Mytilus edulis: one gene and its partner. The protein of the gene in region 2 purifies or fractionates together with the protein of the main gene of each other region. This does not show direct contact. Links are inferred from orthologs where the notes say so. Each region holds a gene or a part of one and is shown on either strand. Other genes may lie near its edges. The genes, in order: putative transferase CAF17 homolog, mitochondrial; iron-sulfur cluster assembly 2 homolog, mitochondrial-like.

Evidence for each region.
Region 1: the proteins of iron-sulfur cluster assembly 2 homolog, mitochondrial-like (region 2) and putative transferase CAF17 homolog, mitochondrial purify together in Homo sapiens (co-immunoprecipitation; 4 studies listed by BioGRID and IntAct, with this or other methods). This does not show direct contact. The link is inferred for Mytilus edulis from reciprocal best matches to the Homo sapiens genes ISCA2 and IBA57.

What each region holds. Positions count from the first base shown.
Region 1 is NC_092353.1:80,593,314-80,605,031, forward strand, and holds the start of putative transferase CAF17 homolog, mitochondrial, read right to left. Parts: upstream 5,928-11,718; 5' UTR 5,646-5,927; intron 649-5,645; 5' UTR 607-648; coding exon 364-606; intron 1-363. UniProt on the Homo sapiens protein: Mitochondrial protein involved in the maturation of mitochondrial [4Fe-4S]-proteins in the late stage of the iron-sulfur cluster assembly pathway. Operates in cooperation with ISCA2 in the maturation of [4Fe-4S] proteins.
Region 2 is NC_092346.1:1,251,848-1,263,555, forward strand, and holds the start of iron-sulfur cluster assembly 2 homolog, mitochondrial-like, read right to left. Parts: upstream 4,458-11,708; 5' UTR 4,398-4,457; coding exon 4,324-4,397; intron 1-4,323. Other genes in the region: calcium-independent protein kinase C-like, read left to right, coding at 7,682-8,023, 8,225-8,291. UniProt on the Homo sapiens protein: Involved in the maturation of mitochondrial 4Fe-4S proteins functioning late in the iron-sulfur cluster assembly pathway. May be involved in the binding of an intermediate of Fe/S cluster assembly.

The DNA of each region.
Region 1 (11,718 bases), on a different chromosome or scaffold from region 2:
TTTTTTCCATATATAGGTACACAAACTTAAAACTCAATTTATTTTTTGTTGAATCATTACAATAAAACTTGAGATCGTTTTTCAAATCTCCTTATCATACTAGACATGTGTTTTAAAAATCTTTGTGATACCTTTTACAGTTTGGTTTAAAATTGGAATTAAAAATTGTATTTTCCCATAGAGTTTGAGGTTTCACCTCCTAGAAATTTCAAGTGCCAGGATGTTCGAAAATATGTATAAATCCTTATATTTCATGTTTACTCCGATATGATGACTCAAATAATATACTTTGATTTTTTTCAATAAGTAGAGCTGACCCTTACCATGTTCTGTTTATATACTAAACCAAACCATAACTGTTACCTGAACATTAAGGAGCATAGCATGCAATGAGGTACATTCAGGACCCAGTACTGTGACATCATTTGTGACAAGGCCTTGGAGGAAAGGGTTGACATCTGTCCCAGAAAGCTGGATCAGCCCACGACTTTTGAGAGCATGTAACGTCCAGGAGCTAGATGAAATATTTCTTCTGCAGACAATAATACTGTGAGCCACATGTAGACGTGATGAGATGTGTTGTAAAGTTTTCAGAAGGATCTTCATGTTAGCAGTAACACATCAGAATCATTATAATAATCTGATAATCTGCAAGTAATAATGTTTCTGAATTAATAAGCGTATATGATGTAAATGTATAAACTGTAAAACATCTAAAATGTTGTTTTTTTTAACTTTTATTTTGATATCAAATCAATCCATTACACAGACACTAAAAGCATGAAACCAAATGGAAGATAAATATTATTATGGACTCCTGACATCAAGTCAATATCCAAATTGGTTATTCCTGAGAGATTAACATGCATGACATGATTTTCCTAAAACTTATTTTAACATTTTTGATAATAACTTTTGATGTCAGACCATAACTGTAGAATTATACTGAACTAAATATGAAGTAATGTTACTTTATTCATATTGTATCTTTTTTGTGTTTTTTGAATATTTCTATTTCAGAATTGAATGCTTCTTTTGTAAATTCATTAGTGTGTAAAATAGAGGTGAAAGATACCAGTCAAACTCATAGATCCAAAATAAACTGACATGGTTAACTAGAGGCTCTTAAGAGCCTGTGTCGCTCACCTTGGTCTATGTGCATATTCAACAAAAGACACAGATGGATTAATGAGAAAATTGTGTTTTGGTGATGGTGATGTGTTTGTAGATCTTACTTTACTGAACATTCTTGCTACTTCTTCATCTTTAATGAACTTGGCCCATTAGTTACAGAGGAAAATATTTTGTTAAAAATTTACAAAATTTATGAAAATTGTTAAAAATTGACTGTAGAGGGCTGTTACTCCTTAAGGGGTCAACTGACCATTTTTGTCATGTTTGATTTATTTGTAGATCTTACTTTGCTGAACATTATTGCTGTTTACAGTTTATCTCTATCTACAATAATATTCAAGATAATAACCAAAAACGGCAACATTTCTTTAAAAATTACAAATTCAGGGGCAGTAACCCAACAACCAGTTGTCTGATTCGTCTGAAAATTCAGGTCAGATAGATCTTAATATCATCAACAATTTAACCTCTTGTCAGATTTGCTCTAAATGCTTCGGTTTCAGAGTTATAAGCCAAAATCTACATTTTACCCCCTATGTTCTATTTTTAACCATGACGGCCATCTTGGTTGGTTGGAGGGTCATGCCACACATTTTTTAAACTAGATACCCCAATGATGATTGAGTCCATGTATGGTTAAATTTGGCCCAGTAGTATCAGAGGAGAAGATTTTTGTAAATGATTACAAAAATTTACGAAAAATTGGTAAAAAATGACTATAAAGGTTTATAACTCCTTAACAGGTCAACTGACCATTTTGGTCACGTTGATTTATTTGTAGATCTTACTTTGCTGATCATTATTGCTGTTTACAGTTTATCTCTATCTATAATAATATTCAAGATATTAACCAAAAACTGCAAAATTTCTTTAAAATTGCCAATTCAGGGACAGCAACCCAACAACTGGTTGTCCAATTTGTCTGAAAATTTCAGGGCAGCTAGATCTTGACATGATAAACAAATCAACCCAGTCAGATTTGCTCTAAATGCTTTGGTTTCAGAGTTATAAGTCAAAATCTACATTTTACCCCTATATTCTATTTTTAGCCATGGTCTTGGTTGGTTGGCCAGGTCACGCCACACATTTTTTAAACTAGATACCCAAATGATGATTGTGGCTAAGTTTGATTAAATTTGGCCCAGTAGTTTTAGAGGAGAAGATTTTTGTAAAAGTTAATGACGACGGACAACGACGACGACGGACACCAAGTGATGAGAAAAGCTCTCTTCGCCTTTTAGGCCAGGTGAGCTAAAAATGAACAATGACAAACAGACAAATAATAGTACATTGTACACATGACACAACATAGAATATCTAAAGACTAAGCAACATGAAGTTATGAACCCCACCTAAAACTGGGGGTGATCTCAGGTGCTCCGAAAGAGTAAGCAGATCCTGCTCCATATGTGACACCCGTTGTGTTGTGCTTGGGATATTAATTTGTCCTTGAAATCGTGGTGCCCATTTAATAGGGCTGCAATAACCATGATAACCTTGAATAAATTTCTTTTGTGAAACAGTTCTTATTGTTCAAATATGTCCATTCTAAGAATCACAGCATCCAAATTATGTATGGCATTATGTATTTTTTTTTTTTTCAATTACATAATCTCAAGGTCCATTAACAATATTGACCTAATTACAAAATTTTATGTAGACGTAGAAGAGGGAAGAAAGATACCAGAGGGATAGTCAAACTCATAGATTGAAAACAAACTGACAACGCCATGGCATGGTGTTGTCAGTTTGTTTTCAATCTATGAGTTTGAGATGATGGCTAAAAATAAAAAGACAAACAGACAAATAATAGTACAGAAGACAAAAGTTAAACATTGAAAACTAAAGACTAGGCAACATGAACCCCACCAAAAACTGGGGGGATCACAGTTGCTCCAGAAGGATAAGCAGATCCTGCTCCACATGTGGCACCCATCATGTTGCTCATGTTATTACAAATCTGGTAAAAAGTCTAATTCGGTAGGTCAAAATCGTGAAAAGGGAAGGGTATTGTAATTATGACATAAGGAACATAATTGATATCACCTGTGAGTGGGGTCACCTTCTGTGTCAGTGCACAGTCGCTTGAAAGTGACTGTGGTCAGTGCAATTCCTTTATATGGGGACGAAGTCCCCAATAACAGAAGAAAAATCAATAAAAAAAAATTTTTTTTTAATTTTCATTGTACTAATGAACTCAAAATCGTTCAATTTTTTTGATGTCATGTTTTGAATTCCCACATCTGCGCAGAAATCTACAATGTTTATCCTTTTTCCGGTCTTGTTTGTATGAAACTTTGATTACATATATATTTATCAGTCTAGTATAAAATAGGAAGGAACGCAATACCAATTTCATTTTTAATAATTCCTTGATATGAAAAAACGTTACCTGATGATAGCGTTTCTTTGTTTACATTGCATATGATGTCATAACTGAAGTAAAGTCACAACTAAAATCCCTAACAATAGAACCAAAATCGGAAACTTTACAGTATTTCTGTTTCTTTTTTTAACAAATATTTAAGTTACATCAGTGTTCTCCCCAGAAATTTTGGATAGCATCACATTTTGCGTAAAAAAAATAACTGTATTTTTTTTAATGTCGTTTGTTGCGTCGCGTTGATACTCTATTTCCTTTATATGTTTTAGTTTATATTGTTCAATTCATAACTGAGAATAGAATTAAACTATAACCACAAAAACAGTTGTTTCAGTTTATGTTTTCTTTATTGATATATTGTTACAGAATTATTTTTTTCCTCTTGTGCCAAATAAAAATAAATATGTGGTTTCAGTTACCCAACAATAAGTCAAATGAATGAATGGTTCATTATAGATCAACCTGTTTATATACAAAACTAAATATCTAGTACACAAAATTAACTATTTTTATATTATATGGGGACGAAGTCCCCTATTACAGTAGAAAATTCAATAAAAAAAAATAAAAAAAAAAAAATCGGGAAAATTTCCCGAATTTTTCATTGTACTAATGAACTCAAAATCGTTCAATTTTTTTTTTTTGTCGCGTTTTTTAATTTCCGGATCTGCGCAGAACACATAACTCTACTTCCTTCTTCCGGTCTTGTTGTCGTGAGACTTTGATAAGTCTAGTAAAATATAGGAACTCAAGGAACACAATACCAATATTTCATTTTTAATCATTCTTTGTCTTTGGTATGAATAAACGTTACCTAATGCATTGCGTTTCTTTGTTTACATTGAACATGACGTCATAACTTAGATAACGTCACAAGTAAAATCCCTAACAACAGAACCAAAATCGGAAAAGTTACGGTATTTCTGTTTCTTTTTTTAACAAATATTTAAGTTACAAAAAAATTAATTTAAACAAACTTCGTCCCCATTCACAGGTAATGCCTGCCTCATATTATCAAGTAAAGATAAAGTAGCAAAAGTAGCAAAAAAAATCAATTTAAAAACTTTTTTTATCATGTTTATGAAATTCATTGTTTCATGGCACTCAATAAATTAGTCCCAGTTGTTTCTTATCTTTACATCAAAATGATATGTATTTTTAACAAAGTTATCTAACAAATAGTCTGTTAATGCGTAGTTTTCTCTCTTGGTATATTTTTTCTGTCTACTGTCCATCTGTTGCCACTATCATGAAAATGCAGATTTTTGTCATATCTGGTCCGGTTCCGATCCGCAGTTTACACAAAAATGTGCAATGGCGGCTGTAGAAAAATTTACGAAAATGAGTCAGAGAATAAACATTGTTTGACAAGAGATTGTGAAAGAATAAGACGCTTTTAATGCATTAAATGGATTAAACATAGACTTAAGCCAATTATGATAACTTTTTAAAGAAGTATTAAACTTAGTTTAGCTCTAAACCAAAATTCTCGCTCTCGTATTACCGGAAGAGAAAGAAAGTAATTTTTGGAAAGATGCACAAATAAAGGACCTTTTTAAAAAAAAAAATAAAAATCGTTTCAATCTTTGAAATTTCGTATTACAAAACGTAGATTTCGAAATGTTTTGTGATTGCATTTTTCCATGTCGAAATTGGTGATTGCAGACACGTGGTATTAGTCATGTCACAAGTGTCAGCTTGGCTTGGGATATTCGCATCCAAACAGTTATCACCCTGAGGGCAATTAACACCTAGCTATTTAATCTCTTAATTGCCTTTAGTGTCCCACTTAAAGGGATTACAATTAAGGGTGATATCATTTTTATGATCATACTCGATAATTGATGAAAGTTCAAAATTGAGGACAAGTAAAATAGCATCTTCAAAATAATTATAGCGTCGCGGAAATAATTATAGCGTCGCGGGAATTGTTATAGCATCACGGTGAAAAAATAGTGTCGCGGTACTGCGACGCTAAAATGGCCTGGGGAGAACACTGTACATGTATAAAAAAATAATTCATACAGACTTCATCCCCATTTACAGGTAATGCCTGCCTCATATTATTTGGTATACATACATGACATATTGAAACTATATATTAGAAAAAAAACATTTTTTTCCTGACCTTTCTCTATATACGTTAGGAGTCGAGTGACAGTTAGGTACATGTAAATAACACTGTCACTGGGGTCACTACTGCCTGACAGCTTTGTTTATGGGATATAATTTGTCGAGCAAGCTGGGCCTTACGTGAATTTTTAATAATCAAGAAATATTGTTACTCTATCTTCAGAACAGATGCACTTGTCAAATCTTTGAAAGCTCACTTTAAGCTAGACAGGTGAAGAAAACAGTGAAACTGAAAGTCAACTTTTCAATCATAGGACAGGGGAGATCACTCAAAATTGAAACATGCTAAAACGCGTCACAAAGTACCGAATCAGTTCCCGGAGAACCCATCAAAATTACAGACACAGTCATATATTGCAATTTAAACTCATATAAATCAATGATATGCCCTGCACTCATCGACAAATGCAGGTGTGGACAAAAAGAAACAGTTGACCATTATCTTCTGGATTGTGAGAATTATGAGGAGGCTAGAGAAAAACTCCGCTCTGCACTCTATTTCATAACATCAAAACTAACACTTGAATCAGAAGTACTAGGTTTTTATTAAAGATACTGGAAGGTTCACAAAATAGATAGTTAAGGTCCTATAAGGGTTAATTATTTATTCTTTTTTTGATTTTTTTTTTTTTTTTTTTTTTTTTGAATTAATTATTTAATTATTTATTTATTTATTTAGTTTCTCTGCAGTGCCACATCATAAATACAAATGTACTAATGAGTTTAATACAATAGAGACATAAAATTACCAGAGTGATCGAAATTACAGATAGAGATTATAGTGTCAAGTTGACACTTCTAAAGACTAAAGACTAAAGTCATTCTGCCTATAGACATTTAGGTATACTTAGGGAATTAACCTTTTAGGGGGAGGGTATGTTTTGTTTAATAAAATAAAATCTAATCTGATCCCTAATTTGATGAAAAAAAATATTCTGGTCAAGTACATGGCAAAAAAATATTCTAAATGCAAATTCCCACTTAGTTATACGTCCTTGCTTATAGTGTTAAATTTTAAAAAAAATAGTATAATTGATTGCATTGAAAAACCAAATAAATTGGTTCGCGGGAACAGTATTTTATAACATGCTTCATGAAAAGGAAAGAAAAAAAAGAAAAAACTTGAACTGATCAATTAATTATGAGATACGGTCTGGAATCATTTCGAGCTTTTGAACAATGGACTTCATACAAGTATATCGACACATCACTTTTCTAATCTTAAATATAAAAAAGCAAATAGAAAAAAAATTTCAGCTGAAAAACAGTTGTTGCCAAAAATAGCTAATATACAACACCAGTGGCGGATCAAGCCATTTTAAAAAGGGGGGGGGGGTCCCAACTCAGAGTAAACGGGGGGGGGGGGGGGGGTTTCCAACTATATATTCCCATTCAAATGCATTGATCGGCCAAAAAAAGGGGGGAGTTCCAACCCCCAACCCCTTGGATCCGCCACTGAAAACGTCAGTATTTTATGTATTAGTCTGAGGGTAGTTTTGTCCAATGACACTAATAAAAATGTTATCTCGGTCATACTAATATACCGGTATATATTTCTGAAGTTCAGCCGATTGGTTCAATAACAAACAGCACACTGCCTAAAATAAATCGCCCAATGCCGTTTTAATTGACTTTCTGTCCAGTTGCTTAAGGATGTACTTAGGTGAAGTTGTGGCATGAATTTGTGTCAAATGTTCGGACTCCTTGGTGTTTCTCCATACAATACAATGTAAATTATTTTGCCCCATAACACCCATTTATTTTTTCATATAAGACTTAATAGCTCATGAAAGGTCATTTACCAAAATTTTAGAAGACTCTTGGTTTTCTTTCTTTTGTTTTGAGACCCAAATGATACCAATGCAAATATAATGTAAAAGTCCGAGTCAGTCTTTTCCCGCCATATTTTAAATCTCAAATATCTCGAAAAGGAGGTCCATGATTAGCTTATCTTTATCCTTAATTGATGCTCTACCAGCTTATAGTATCATTTTTAATTTCTTAATTTCCTAATTTTTACCAAACCTCACCTAAGTACATCCTTAAAAGACTATCGACAGTCATGACCGTCATGCGCGTAGCTACGTTTACCTCAAAACGCCCGAGCGTACAGTTGAATTTGAAAATAAAACAAATAAACGACATAGAATAAGAAAAAATGGTCAAAAGCACATCATCCTTGTGCTTCTTTTTTCAATGGATTATATAATTTTAAATAACTAGAGGCTCTAAGAGCCTGTGTCGCTCACCTTGGTCTATGTGAATATTAAACAAAGGAAGCAGATGGATTCATGACAAAATTGTGTTTTGGTGATGGTGATGTGTTTGTACGTCTTACTTTACTGAACATTCTTGCTGCTTACAGTTATCTCTATTTATAATGAACTTGGCCCAGTAGTTTCAGTGGAAAATGTTAATTAGTAAAAATTTACAAATTTTATAAAAATTGTTAAAAATTGACTATAAAGGACAATAACTCCTTAGGGGGTCAATTGACCATTTCAGTCATGTTGTCTTATTTGTAAATCTTACTTTGCTATACATTATTGCTGTTTAAAGTTTATCTTTATCTATAATAATATTCAAGATAATAACCCAAAACAGTAAAATTTCCTTAAAATTACCAATTTAGGGGCAGCAACCCAACAACGGGTTGTCCGATTCATCTGGAAACTTCAGGGCAGGTAGATTTTGACCTGATAAACAATTTTACCCATGTCAGATTTGCTCTAAATGCTTTGGTTTTTGAGTTATAAGCCAAAAACTGCATTTTACTCCTATGTTCTATTTTTAGCCATGGTGGCCATCTTGGTTGGATGGCCGGATCACCGGACACATTTTTTTAAACTAGATTACCCAAAGCTGATTGTGGCCAAGTTTGGAATAATTTGGCCCAGTAGTTTCAGAGGAGAAGATTTTTGTAAAAGATTACTAAGATTTACGAAAAATGGTTAAAAATTGACTATAAAGGGCAATAACTCCTAAAGGGGTCAACTGACCATTTCGGTCATGTTGACTTATTTGTAGATCTAACTTTGCTGAACATTATTGCTGTTAACAGTTTATCTCTATCTATAATAATATTCAAGATAATAACCAAAAACAGCAAAATTTCCTTAAAATTACCAATTCAGGGGCAGCAACCCAGCAACCATTTGTCTGATTCATCTGAAAATTTCAGGGCAGATACATCTTGACCTGATAAACACTTTTACTCCGTCAGATTTGCTCTAAATGCTTTGGTTTTTGAGTTATAAGCCAAAAACTGCATTTTACCCCTATGTTCTATTTTTAGCCATGGCGCCCATCTTGGTTGGTTGGCCAGGTCACGCCACACATTTTTTAAACTAAATATCTCAAAGATGATTGTGGCCAAGTTTGGAATAATTTGGCCCAGTAGTTTCAGAGGAGAAGATTTTTGTAAAAGATTACTAATCTTTACGAAAAATGGTTAAAAATTGACTATAAAGGTCAATAACTCCTAAAGGGGTCAACTGACCATTTCAGTCATGTTGACTTATTTGTAAATCTTACTTTGATGAACATTATTGCTGTTTACAGTTTATCTCTATCTATAATAATATTCAAGATAATAACAATATAACGGCAAAATTTCCTTAAAATTGCCAATTCAGGGGCAGCAACCCAACAACCGGTTGTCCGATTCGTCTGAAAATTTCAGGGCAGATAGATCTTGACTTAATAAACAATTTAACCCTGTCAGATTTGCTCTAAATGCTTCGGTTTCAGAGTTATAAGCCAAAAACTGCATTTGACCCCTATGTTCTATTTTTAGCCATGGGGGCCATCTTGGTTGGTTGGCCGGGTAACCGAACATATTTTTCAAACTAGATACCCCAATGATGATTGTGACCAAGTTTGGTTAAATTTGGCCCAGTAGTTTCAGAGGAGAAGATTTTTGTAAAAGTTAACGACGACGGACGACGGACGACGACGGACGCCGGACGCCAAGTGATGAGAAAAGCTCACTTGGCCCTTCGGGCCAGGTGAGCTAAAAAGGGACTAAATTTACTCAAATAGATCATTTAATATATTTGTTCGAATCTTTTGTAAAAGTCTGAATCTACTATGAATTCTACGTACTTTTCTTATATTCAAAGCAATTCACTATCTGCTCAGATTCGATATGCTGTTTGTATTTTTGTCGAGCCTGTGAGTTATGTCCCAAAAGCGAGACAAAGCGGCGTCAATATTTAGGTTCCGAATGTGGATAAAGTCATTTGAATGACTCTCCATGAAATTTTACGAAAGTTGGACAGAAACTGTTTATGAACAAAAGAGTATTCAGAGCAATATTATAATGCAACTATATCTTTAATTTTCCCGCATTTTAAGTACAAAATGTTTTTCTTTCTACAATTAATAAGTGGTCGCAGTTTGGGCTTACATTTTGTTATTTCTCAATTACATTAACTACTTGTCGAACCTTCATTGAATTTTATGAAAATGCTGAAGAAGCTTTTTCTATGACTAATGTCTAAAGCTAAAATTTTGAAAGCATTTGTTTTCGTTCATTTTACTGTTCTTTTCTGATAGAATAACAGTCGGGCTCTTCTTCGCGCAATTAATTGTTTTACATGCTCAAATTACAATTTATAAACCTTCATAGATTGTCGTGAAATATTCCAGATCATTAAAAGGTGCTTTTGTCGATTGTATGCTCACTCACGGCACCCTTTAAACTTATTTAAAGTGTGATGTGTTTTCGTACTAATAACAATTTTCGCTGCTTACGTTTTTCACTGTTGAGTTTTTATTCACATGTATACTCAAATTTGAAAGGCATGTTCTGTAGAATTTTTTAAGGTATTGAGATTTTTTTGTCACGGCTTAATACGATTTTTGTATTGTTTCCGATTATTTTGTGATTTTTGTATGTCAAAAACGTCGTCATATGTTTTCGTATGAAGCAAAAACTGGATCAGTACACGGACAGGAAATCTATACTATTAAACGAGAAGACCTCATTTTGTGTGTCGCTTCTCTTCCTTCCACAATAAATCAATCACCATGCCTCTGTGTCCTATAGGTTACTTGCATAGTCGCATTTGTCATCCATTCTTATGATTATTCAGATTGAGTTATTTTGGGGAAAAAAACTACAAAAAGGTGTCACACCACCAATTACGATCAATTACTCCCTCAAATTTAGAACGTGAAAGTAGGCCTACTCGAACAAAAAATAGTGCATTTGATGTCATTGTTTACTTAAACTACCCAACAAATTTGCAGAAATGAAACTTTTGGTGAAAGAGAAATATATTAAGACTATTTTGAGCCCAAATTTACTTGTCTATGAGTTGACATTAAAAATTGAGGATTAATGCGCTCCATAGTATACTAATTTAAGATTTCAAGAAAACCAGGGGTTATTTTTAGTGGTACATCCATTCGGAAGGTCTCTTCTTTCTTATATGGCTTTAAAGGTATGCTGAAAATTGGCATGAAGAAAGGTGATACCTGTACGATTCAGGACATACCTGGTTTGTAAGAGGTTAAACTTAAGATAAAAAATTTAGAAAGCTATGAAAATTGCAAAATTTGGTTGAACAGATAGGGACTTTTAATTGGTGGTCTGACACCTTTAAGCAAAATGCGGTGAAACATCAAAATCAGAAAACAATTGTTTTTTTTTGTCTTAACTGATCATTTGAGATAATAGTAGCCACATTTCAATCTTTTTGGGGGCAGAATGTCACATATTGCAAATTTAGAGCCTAAAACTTGAGTTTGTGCTATTTTTAGCTTTTCCCACCCTGACAATATGCTTTTATATAAAAAATGTCCTAAATAATGTTATAAATCCACAGAAAATTATTCTGTGGTGTTAAACATTGAAACATAGGTTGTTTACTACCCCCAAACAAATTTTGTCATGAAGATTTAATGAAATTATTTGATTTTTACCCCTTATATCATTGCGTCATAATATGTACTTGGCAGATAGCATATATATATATAGCCTAATGTAAACACTGCAGAAACTCACAAAAGTACCATTTATTATTCCAAATGGAATTTTTATATCTTAAATTTTATTAACTGAT
Region 2 (11,708 bases):
TATTATCACTGTACTATTATGCATATTTTAGGGGCCAGCTGAAGGACACCTACGGGTGCGGGAATTCTCGCTACATTGAAGACCCATTGGTTGCCTTCGGCTGTTGTTTGCTCTATGGTCGGGTGGTTGTCGCTTTGACATATTCACCATTTCCTTTCTCAATTTTATATTGTATAAAACAATGATTTAAGTTGACTCAACTACTATGCTGGACAAAGAAAGATAACTCCAATCAATTGAAAATTTCTTGCTATTGCACAATATTGTGCAATTAGATATTTCTGGCTATTGCGCAATACTGTGCAATTGAAAATATTTGCTATTGCACAATACTGTGCAATTGAAGATTTCTTGATATTGCACAATACTGAGCAATTGAAAATTTCTTGCTATTGCACAGTACTGTGCAATTGAAGATTTCTTGCTATTGCTGAATACTGTGCAATTGAAAATTTCTTGCTATTGCACAATACTTAAAATGACTAGATATCATTGAGATGGGAGTCATCTCTGTGGGCCCCGCTGTGAATAATGTGCATTAAAAAATTGTATCTTTACCATAGGACATGGGTTTGTCAACTGAAATCAAAGTTTTTGACCTTGACCTTTGACCTAGGAAGTTGTACATAAATTATGACACACCCTTTGGTGTTGGTTTATAAACATGTCAAGTAGAAACTTTGAAATGATAACGGTTCTCAAGATATAGAGCGGACACGATCTTTACCATAGGACATGGGGTTGTCAACTGAAATCAAAGTTTTTGACCTTGACCTTTGACCTAGGAAGTTGCACATAAACTATGACACACCCTTTGGTGTTGGTTTATATACATGTCAAGTATAAACTTTGAAATGATAACGGCTCTCAAGATCTAGAGCGGACACAATCTTTACCATAGGACATGGGGTTGTCAACTGAAACCAAAGTTTTTGATCCTTGAACTTTGCCCTAGGCAGTCGTTCATAAATTATGACACACCCTCTGGTGTTGGTTCATATACATGTCAAGTATAAACTTTGAAATCATATCGGTTTTCAATATATAGAGCGGACATGATCTTCACAACAGGACAAAGGGTTGTCAACTGAAACCAAAGTTTTTTTACCTTGACCTTTGACCTAGGAAGTTGTACATATATCATGACACACCCTCTGGTGGTGGTTAATAAACATGTAAAGTATAAAGTATGAAATCATAATGGTTCTCTAGATATGAAGCGGACACAAAGTGTTATGGACGGACAGACTGATCACTATAGGGGACCCGCCTTTGGCGGGGCCCTAATAATTTTGGATCCTGATTTGAAACAACTTGAAAACTGGGCCCATAAACAAAAATCTAAGTACATGTTTAGATTCAGCATATCAAAAAAGCCCAATAATTCAATTTTTGTTAAAATCAAATTTAGTTTAATTTTGGACCCTTTGGACTTTAATGTAGACCAATTTGAAAACAGGACCAAAAATTAAGAATCTACATACACAGTTAGATTTAGTATATCAAAGAACCCCAATTATTCAATTTTTGATGAAATCAAACAAAGTTCAATTTTGGACCCTTTTGGGCCCCTTATTCCTAAACTGTTGGGACCAAAACTTTTATGGTCATAAACCTTGTGTTTAAATTTCATAGATTTCTATTTACTTATACTTAAGTTATGGTGCGAAAACCAAGAATAATGCTTATTTGGGCCCCTTTTTGGCCCCTAATTCCTAAACTGTTGGGACCTCAACTCCCAAAATCAATCCCAACCTTCCTTTTGTGGTCATAAACCTTGTGTTTAAATTTCACTGATTTCTATTTACTTATACTAAAGTTATAGTGCGAAAACCAAGAAAATGCTTATTTGGGCCCTTTTTGGCCCCTAATTCTTAAAATGTTGGGACCAAAACTCCCAAAATCAATCCCAACCTTCCTTTTGTGGTCATAAACCTTGCGTGAAAATTTCATCGATTTCTATTCACTTTTACTAAAGTTAGAGTGCGAAAACTAAAAGTATTCGGACGACGACGCAGGATGACGACGCCAACGTAATAGCAATATACGACGAAAAATTAAAATTTTTGCAGTCGTATAAAAAGAGCAGCAAGATTTGTTCATAATAACTACTAAGACCGAACACCTGGATGTGTAACACACATGGTTAAACAATTACAGTGGAAAAGCCTGGAAGAACGTAGAAAAACCAACAGACTATGTATGCTATTTAAAATCCAGCATGGGCTTATTGATATAGATAGACAACAATATCCAATGACAGCTGGACCAGAGGTATAGGCCGCTTTTACCAAGAAAGAACAAAATCTGAAACCTATGGACAGTCATTCTTCCCAAAGACCATCAGGGATTGGAATCAACTACCAGCTAAAACAACATCAGCCGACTCGATAGAGGGTTTCAGAGCTGCTCTGAAAGCAGGCTCTGGAAGGAAATGAACAGCATAGAGTGTACATAATTTTAATTGTAAATTGGCGAATGTTTTAAATGTATATAACTTTGAGAGGACTTGCTGCCTTGCCCGGCAATGCGCCAAGTTTTTCGCGGGACCAAAAACATTCAGGATGAATACGGTTCCTTACTTGGAAGAAGAAGAAGAAGAAATATCTAAAATTATGCAACCATCATCTCACTAACTAACAAAGTTAATCTTATTTATTTTAAGGGGTTAAGCTTTCTTATAGGCCAAGTTTTCTAAGGTAATAAGTTGTAATTAATGTTATGCTCTTAATGGGCCCTTTAAAATTTGAAAATAAAAATATTGTATTGTATTGTATTGTATAAGTTTGTTAAACTGAGCCTAGTCATCATAGAATCACACATGTAATAACTGAAAGATCTTTTCTGGCCTTTTATAGCTGACTATGCGGTATGGGCTTTTCTCATTGTCATGATTGTTGAAGGCTGTACGGTGACCTATAGTTGTTAATTTCTGTGTCATTTTGGTCTCTTGTGGACAGTTGTCTCATTGGCAATGATACTACATCTTCTTTTTTATATCTTCATACCAGTGTGGGTTGATAGATTGTTGCTGGCTTAATGTCCAGTGACAATTGGTTCACACTTATACCATGTATTGATGATGTGATACCAATGTGAAAGTCAAACTGAATACCATGTTTTTACTTTCATGTCTTTTCTTCGTATGCGTAAGGTCCGACCATATGGGTATTTTGAAAAAGTATGCATACGGTCTGCAACATTTAGGTACAAGTTAAAAAAAAAAAATTTTTTTTGAAGACATAATCTAGACATAGAACTAATTTTATAGAAAAAATATGTAGATGGACGTCATGGTGAATAAGAATGTGTTCATGGTAGGTATCAGGTCCGTTCACGCCCAATATACTTTCGCACCCTACACGTTTGCACCTCGCACGTTCGCACTCTACACGTTCGCGCCCAATTTTAATTCAAATTCCAGTTGAATAGTTGGAAAATCATCATTGTTGTTTTTAATTGCTTTCGTGTAAATAATGAATGTATTTATAGCTTGGTATGAGTAAAAGATTCAAGATTATAAATGAAAAACACAAAAGATAATTGTTTTTAACAGCTTGGTCCCTTTGATCTGAACATGCTGAAACAAAGAAACAATAAAATATAGCAATACACTATTATAACCAAAACATGATAAAATTTATTCAAGACTCAAAAAAAAAAAAAAAACGTAGTCAGAATCTCACTTCATTTTGAAACAAGTCAATATGAAACAAAGTTATACATGTTATAGTAATACACTAACCAAAACATGATAAAGAGTTATTCAACACAAAATAAAACGTTGACAGAATCCCACTTTATTTAGAAATAGAAAGGAATATTTTTTTTTTTTTAAATACACTATCCAAAACATGATTAAGATTTATTCAACACAAAAAAATGCTGTATCACTTTATTTTCAGACAATGAAAACAATAATACTTATAAGAATACTACTTGATTACAAAGTTGAAATTGGGCGCGAACATGTAGGGTGCGAACGGACTTTGGGTGCGAAAGTGAAAGGGGGCGAACATGAGTGGGTGCGAACGTGAATGGGCGCGAACGGACCCGGATTCGTTCATGGTACATGTACACAGATGGCCCATTCACACTATCATTTTCTATGTTCAGTGGACCAGGAAATTGGGGGAAAACTCTTATTTGGCATTAAAATTAGAAAGATCATATCATACTGAATCATAGGGAACATGTTTACTAAGTCTTTCAAGTTGAAAATTGTTAAATTGTTAGTTTAAAATGTTGCATAAGCTAAAATGTCATATATAAAAGCAAGGCAACATTTTAAACTTCAAGATGTTATGAGGTTCTTGTTTATACTTGTATTTTGTAAGATTTTGTCTTCTAATTGCGCAGAAAGCCGTATATGACACTTTTTTCAGAAGAGATGTCATTTCGTTTTTGTTTACTTCATTCCATCAAGAGTTGTATCCCTTTAGCTCTTACTTAGGCTTAATACCGAAAGACAGTGATGCATACAACACAGGAACATAACGGTCATAAATTTTATATATGATCAGTCAAATTATTCAAAAAGTTTGTCATATAAACTAACTAACTCTAAACATATATAAGTTTGTGACAAATTACATGAATGCAAACAAACACCAAACACATTTTTAAAATGAAAGCCATAGAAATCCATATCCTATTAAAACATACACAAGTAAAAATCTAACGATCTACCTGAGAGTACTATAACACATTTTTATAGTAGTCTCAGGATCTACTAAGTCATATCAGATATATTTCATATCCCAATAAAAACATACACAAGTAAAAATCTAACGATCTACTAAGTCATATATATATTTTATGATAAATCAATCAAAGAGCTCATGTCCTCATTCTAATACCTGTTTTAAGTTTTAAAAGGATATTAAAATTCCGTTTTGAAGTTGATGGGGGAAAATATTCAATTTTCTACACCGTGAGGACATCATGAAAATCTGGCATGTATTTAACCTGAGACTACTATATATATATAACACATTATAGTGCCAGGTTTAACTACATTTCCTAAAAAGTTATCTCTTAGTTTAGATTTTTGTTACAGTATAAAATGAAATGAGCTTCATCCTCCAATGTATTGCAGGATGGTCATAGTCTTTTTCTAGGTATTTTTAAATGTTTTCCTTTTTCTTTCAATAAATTATGGTCTGCACTAATTATGATAAATACTTTATTTAATAAATTATTCTCATCTTTGTTGTGTTAATTCTCTTATCACTAGACTTACAGTTTAAAAGTAACCTTTCTATTTCTAAATTTTGCATCAAACTTCTAGCTATAAAACCAGGTTCAATCCACCATTTTCTACATTAGAGAATGCCTGTACCAAGTCAGCAATATGACAGTTGTTATCCATTCGTTTGATGTGTTTGGACTTTTGATTTTGCCTTTTGATTTTGAATTTTCCTTTTGAATTTTCCTCAGAGTTCAGTATTTTTATGTTTTTACTTTTTTTTTTATATTAAAACACTAAATGTACTAAATTTTCTGGACTGGCAAAGTCGCAAAACAATGTTGGATTCTTTTTTTGTGCTTTTTTTTCGATCGGAATTTCATAAACTAAATATTATTGCATACTGAATTGTACTTTTCGTATTGTTAACTTTCCTCAGTTCTATCTCGGACTAAATACATGATACATTAATACATGATAATATTCATATTGGTCCAAGCTTCCATTGATTGTGATTGCCAGGCTTAAGAAATGGTTTTTCAGATAGCTCGACACGCACATGTTGAAACTAAAGTTGCAGATTTTTATTAAAAAGATTATTCTGTACATATTTGTTGTTGAAAACCGTTTCATATAGTACTCGAAGGAAGGGCCATATTGTCATAAATTAATTTAAGGTCCCGCTCAAATTTTAATTTCCGCAAGTAAGTTTTCTGGTATGCTAAGGGACGACATCAAAAGTTCAATGAAGGATAAAAAAAAACTTAATTCACATAGTTTTTTCACTGACCCCCTGCCCCCACCCCCCTCTTAACTTAATTTGGGAAAAATTGATTTACCTATATGGATATATGTAAAATCGATTTTAAATTAACAAAACTTGCAGCAATGTTAACCCCCACCCCAAACTATTTGATTTAAGTTTGTTATCCTACATCGATCTTTTGCATGTTTTGATGTCGTCCATAAGAACACGATAACTTTCAATATGAAATGGTATGTCTTGTCAGATTTAAAAGTTATGACTGTCAGGGAAAATATAAAGTAATATTTTTTACAAGAACTATTATCGTTGAAATATTTTATTATTCTTCTAAAACGGGATTTTAAAACATTCACTTTTTTCTAGTCCAGAGCAGGAAAATACATCAATGAATGAGAATAAAATGCAGCAAATATTAGTGCATGATGATGATGTATATTGCATGAACTTTGTAGATATAATTATGCTCTATATGAACCCTTTAATTGAGAATAGTGCGTGTACTATTATATTCAACAGCACCAGGGGATCGCAAAGTATATATATATATTGAGATTTAAAAGGCAATATTTTAAATCATAAATTGTTAGTCCCCAATCTTCAAGTGTTACTGGTACACAATAGAGAATAATGGTAAGTAATGGACGAAAAAAAAAAAGAGCAAAAATGAGTTATTTTTTTAAGATAAAGAGATCAGGTATGAACACTGACACTAAGTTAAGTAAATAATTTGAGAATAAATTCATATATAATATAAGTTTATTATTCTTCTATTCCCATATATATGTGGTTTTTAGCTTGATTATGACCAATTGCTTATATTCCAAATATATATGTATATGCCTCTATTATTGTTGTTGTTAACCAATTATGTAAATCAATTGTATCGGATTTTATGCCCTTTATGCGCCCTGTAATTTGGGAAATAAAAATATTATATTCTATTCTATACTAAAATTTTCTTAAAAGTCCTCCAAAAAATTAAACGGAATTCAATTAATTGAAGACCACCCATTCAAACCAATGTACTCATAGTTGTGCATATTTGGAGTATTCGTATAAAAAAAGTATTGTTTGCTCTCCCGATTCTAGCGTTATTTTAAACATGAAAAAACGCGGACGTCAATTAAGCGAGGACGTCACTGAAAACACCTCTACTCATGATGCGGACGTCATAGAGACACGGGTACTCTTCGTATGTTAATTAAAGTATTTAAAATCAGAATTGAAATATACGCATTTTTCGTTATTGAACTATATTATTACTTATAAAAAATAATGTTGTTTATAGGACTATTATTCAAAACCCTAGCCAATAGATATAATTATCATGAACATTTTAATTTTTTACATTTTACGGCTCCAGATTTTAATCATCATCATAAATAGTTTCAAATGATTTGTCCCTTTTATTTAAAATTATGACAATGTACATATATTGAAATTATTTTTAATCTGTATATATATTTTAGTCCGATATTAGAATATATATTTTCTTTGAAGTTGAAGGTCGCTAATTGCTATTTTAGCGCATGCGTAACACCTACACCTGCTTATTCCTTTCCCATTAGTATTGTAGAACTTCCGTGAATTAGCAGTGCATACAACGGATGATTTTTTAACTCGATGGCAGTGTTGCCACACAATTTGTCATGACACGATTATATAATATACCGAATTCTTAACGTTGTGTGTGGATATATCGCTTTAATGTCTGGAAATTACCCAAAATGGCATCTTTCACTGGATCAATGAAATTAAAAATCTGCGAAGCGGTCGATCTACGACCCACTGATTGTGCCACTCGCCTTCAGATGAGTGTAGCTAAGGCCGTACAGTTAATTGACCCGTATATTTCAATAGATCTAGATGACATTCATATCTACAGGACGTCAACAAAGCCAAAAACTTTAAAACCAGTATGGAATGAAGATTTTCATCTGGAAGTCCATAATGGCCAAACTATCGGACTGACAGTTTTCCATGATGCTGCCATTCCTCCGGACGAATTTGTGGCTAATTGTTTCCTTTCTTTTGATGATATAAAAGACCAGAAAACGAGAGACATGTGGGTGAGTTCAATTTAAGACTTATTTTCTTTTTATTTATGTTTGCTGCTGAAGCGAATGCATATCAAAATTTCAAGATGGATGACTTTCGGAATACACAAATCAGAAAAAGATATTATTAGAATCACTGTTTTAATTTGGACTGAATAAAAACAATGTATTGCTTTAAATCTTTAGTTAAATATGTTGTTATTTATTTTGTAGATTGATCTGGAGCCAACAGGAAAGATACATATAATTATACAGCTTTATAATGCCGAATCAACTGAAGGTATTACCCCATATAATTAACATACATTCTGACACCAATACACACATGTACAATAAACAACACAATGTTGTCATAAATACATACCAGTTATAGTATATTGATGAAAACTATTTCTTCAATACACAACAGATATTGTTTAAATGTCAGATATTTTATATAAGTTTTAGTATGTATAATGTATACATTATGATATGATGGGAATTATGGAAATAGCATTGTACCCCTGCCAATGCTATTGTCATATAGAAAATGAATTCAGTATATAACATATCAAATTTAGATATTAAGTAAATTTATTATAAATTAATAAGAGTTTTATATTTTTTTCTTTTTTGTAAAATGACAAGTAACATGGGACATATACATGGTAGTCCAAATAATTATGACGTCTTGAAAGGCTATTATAATTTTTTTCTTTGACGCCTTACATCAACGTCATAACGCCAAACTCATATATTCAGTTGGACTTTGATAGGGAATTTACTGCTTTATAAAAACGTTAAGCTGATTTCTCCTCAAGATGCTTCATTAAAGGTGTATAAAATATATTTTTGAACCAAACTCGGTACATTTTGACCAACCTGAATTTCCGGATAATGTAAAACAATGGTTCCGGAAATTCGGGTTTTACCGAGTTTGGTGTAAAAATTATTTTATAATCTCCTAAAAAGAAATCAGACAAACGTTTTAAAAAATGCAGTCGACATATTCCCGCCTCGGATGGAATTGTTACTTATATTATTATTTCTGTAGGGATTAATTGGAAATATTTTGCACAAACAAACACATAAAAGGTAAGAATTTTAATATATGCATTTTGTTTTAGCCTTCATTGAAAATTTGATGGCTAAATTGGGTCTCAAAGTTGAGAGCAAAATATGCTCTCAAAGTCCAACCGAAAATGGCGGCTTCAGCATTATGACGTTGATGTAAGGCGTCAAAGAAAAAAATTATAATAGCCTTTCAAGACGTCATAATTATTTGGACTATATACATGGGAAAATCAGACTAATGTTACGCCATGTGATTAAGTTGCACATTCATGACATTGGTCCAACTTAATACTTAACGTTAAAAATGGTCAATGAAAATTTCGCAAATTTCATCAGCATATGCATTAAGGGAGAAGCAACAGACAAATTGCTCATGTTGCTTGCAAGCTTTTATTTCCAAGCTACAGGGCACTTTGTTTTCAAAGTCATGTGTAAAAATATTTGAACAAAAAAAACCTTACCCTCCCTTCTGTAATGTAAATTTGGATATTCACCAGCTACTGATTCGAATGCACTACTTTATTATTGGAGTCTAGTAAAATTTATTGCAGTAAAGAAATTTACTGAATGTTTACTTGACCTTCACCTAAGGTCCTAAAGATCATAAAGCATTTTCATGAAGTCTGTTCCCAACTGTCTTGTCTGACTGTTGTGCCATTAACTTGTTAGAGTTATCATTCTTGCGATCAGTGAAATAATTTTTTCTGATTCTGGCGCTCATCATATTAAAAAGAAAAAAAATTGTCAGTTAAAATAATACTATGACTTGTTTAAAGGATGAATGACTTATTTCGTGTAAAAATGTATAAATTACATAAACAAACGACAACTACTGTACATTAGATTCCTGACTTAGGACAGGTGCAAACATTTGCAGCAGGATTAAACATTTAAATGGTACCAAACCTTATCCTTTTTTTCTGAAGCAATAGCATAACACCACAACATAGAAAAACACACAATAAAATATCAATTGGAAGGCCCAACTCAATCAAAAAACGTAAATTAACACACTTTGAAAGAATAAATTTGATCTGCGATATCTGAATGCAAATGCACAGTTAATAAAATATTAGGGAAAAACATTCAAGGCCAAAAAAGCAAACAAACAAGTCCAAACAAAGCCATGGCAAGACACCACCGCGAAATATTTAACCTTTCGAAAATAATCACTTTTGAAAAAAAAAACGGTTTAAATAATATAATGTATTGTATACATATCAATTTCCAAAATATATCTTGAAATGACATTATAATTAAAAATAACTTTATATGTCCATGCTAGCAATGCTAAGGGTGCATTATGTTATACTCTTGTACGTCCTTCCTTAAGTCTGTCAATGTCTGTTTGCCCAAAATTTGTTTGCTTCAATCAAATGTTATGAAACGCAATGCTTATTACCACAAAACACAGATTAAGTTTGAATTTGGATGGCATCACTTCTACCTTTCAAAAGTTATGCTACTTTACAAATGGAAAAATTCTTGGATACTTTGTTTATTACCACAATTTCAAATTAAGTATGATTTAGGGTAGTGACATTATTAATGTTCTTGATCAATGTTCCTTCATAGTGGTGTATGTGAGCTTGGGCATCAACTGTGTCCCACAGACACATTCCATATTTATTTATCTTCTAATAATTTAATAAATCTCCAGAGGAATGCAAGATGTACAGCAACAAAAATTTCGAAACTAAGAATTTAACCAATAATGATGTGTTTTTTTTGCTGCTATAACAGTTAATTGTGTTAAAAATGCATCTGTTGCATTTTGGCTACAACCAATGGCTACTGTGCCGAATGGTTTTATCACAACTAGAAGTGCTGGAAATTTCAGATCACTAGAAAAGGGAATTTCCATTCTTCCATACACATTTCTGGTAACCAAGTCAGAATTAAAACTAGAACTGGTAGAAGTTGGTCACAATGGCCCAGAATTTGACTTTAATCTGTAGATATCTGCATTTCATATTGATTTCTAATGTCACAATTTTAGGGAGCATATAATGTATATTTTTTGTCAAATCTCAAATCTTGAGACGTAAATTGATTTAAAGAAGTAATATAGTACCATTCCGAATTAATGCATGGTGAAAAAAAAATTGGTTGGCAGCTATTTTGATGTCAGAATTTAAAAATATTGATACTCTATAATCTACGAATGAATGTATGAACATGTTGAACATGTATTGCCTTGTGTCCATCAGTATTTATTTCAGATCCAAAGCTTTCTTGTTTGAAATAAACTTTCCTAGCTATTTATCTCTCACACATTGCTTCTGTCCATCTCCTGTTCCATTTTTCAAATCGTTTGGGGGTAATGCATACAGAACATGGATAATGTCATATAAATTTAAGATTGGAACATGCTTACTGTAAAAAAAGTTCTATGTTGCAATTGAAATAGTTTGGTTCAGACGTTAAATTTTCAATTCTTAATCCTTACACTAAGTAAGTTTTCTACCTTAAGGTGGATCGGGACTATTCGACTGCGCATAATTTCAGGCCTGAATTACCAAGCACACGAAAAGTTGTCATAAATTCACTATTTTTTTAAAAATATTTTGATTGATTTAAAATGTTTCATCGTGTATTTTTGTCTTTAAAAAATTATTATCGTTTTTATGTGTATCTGAGAAAG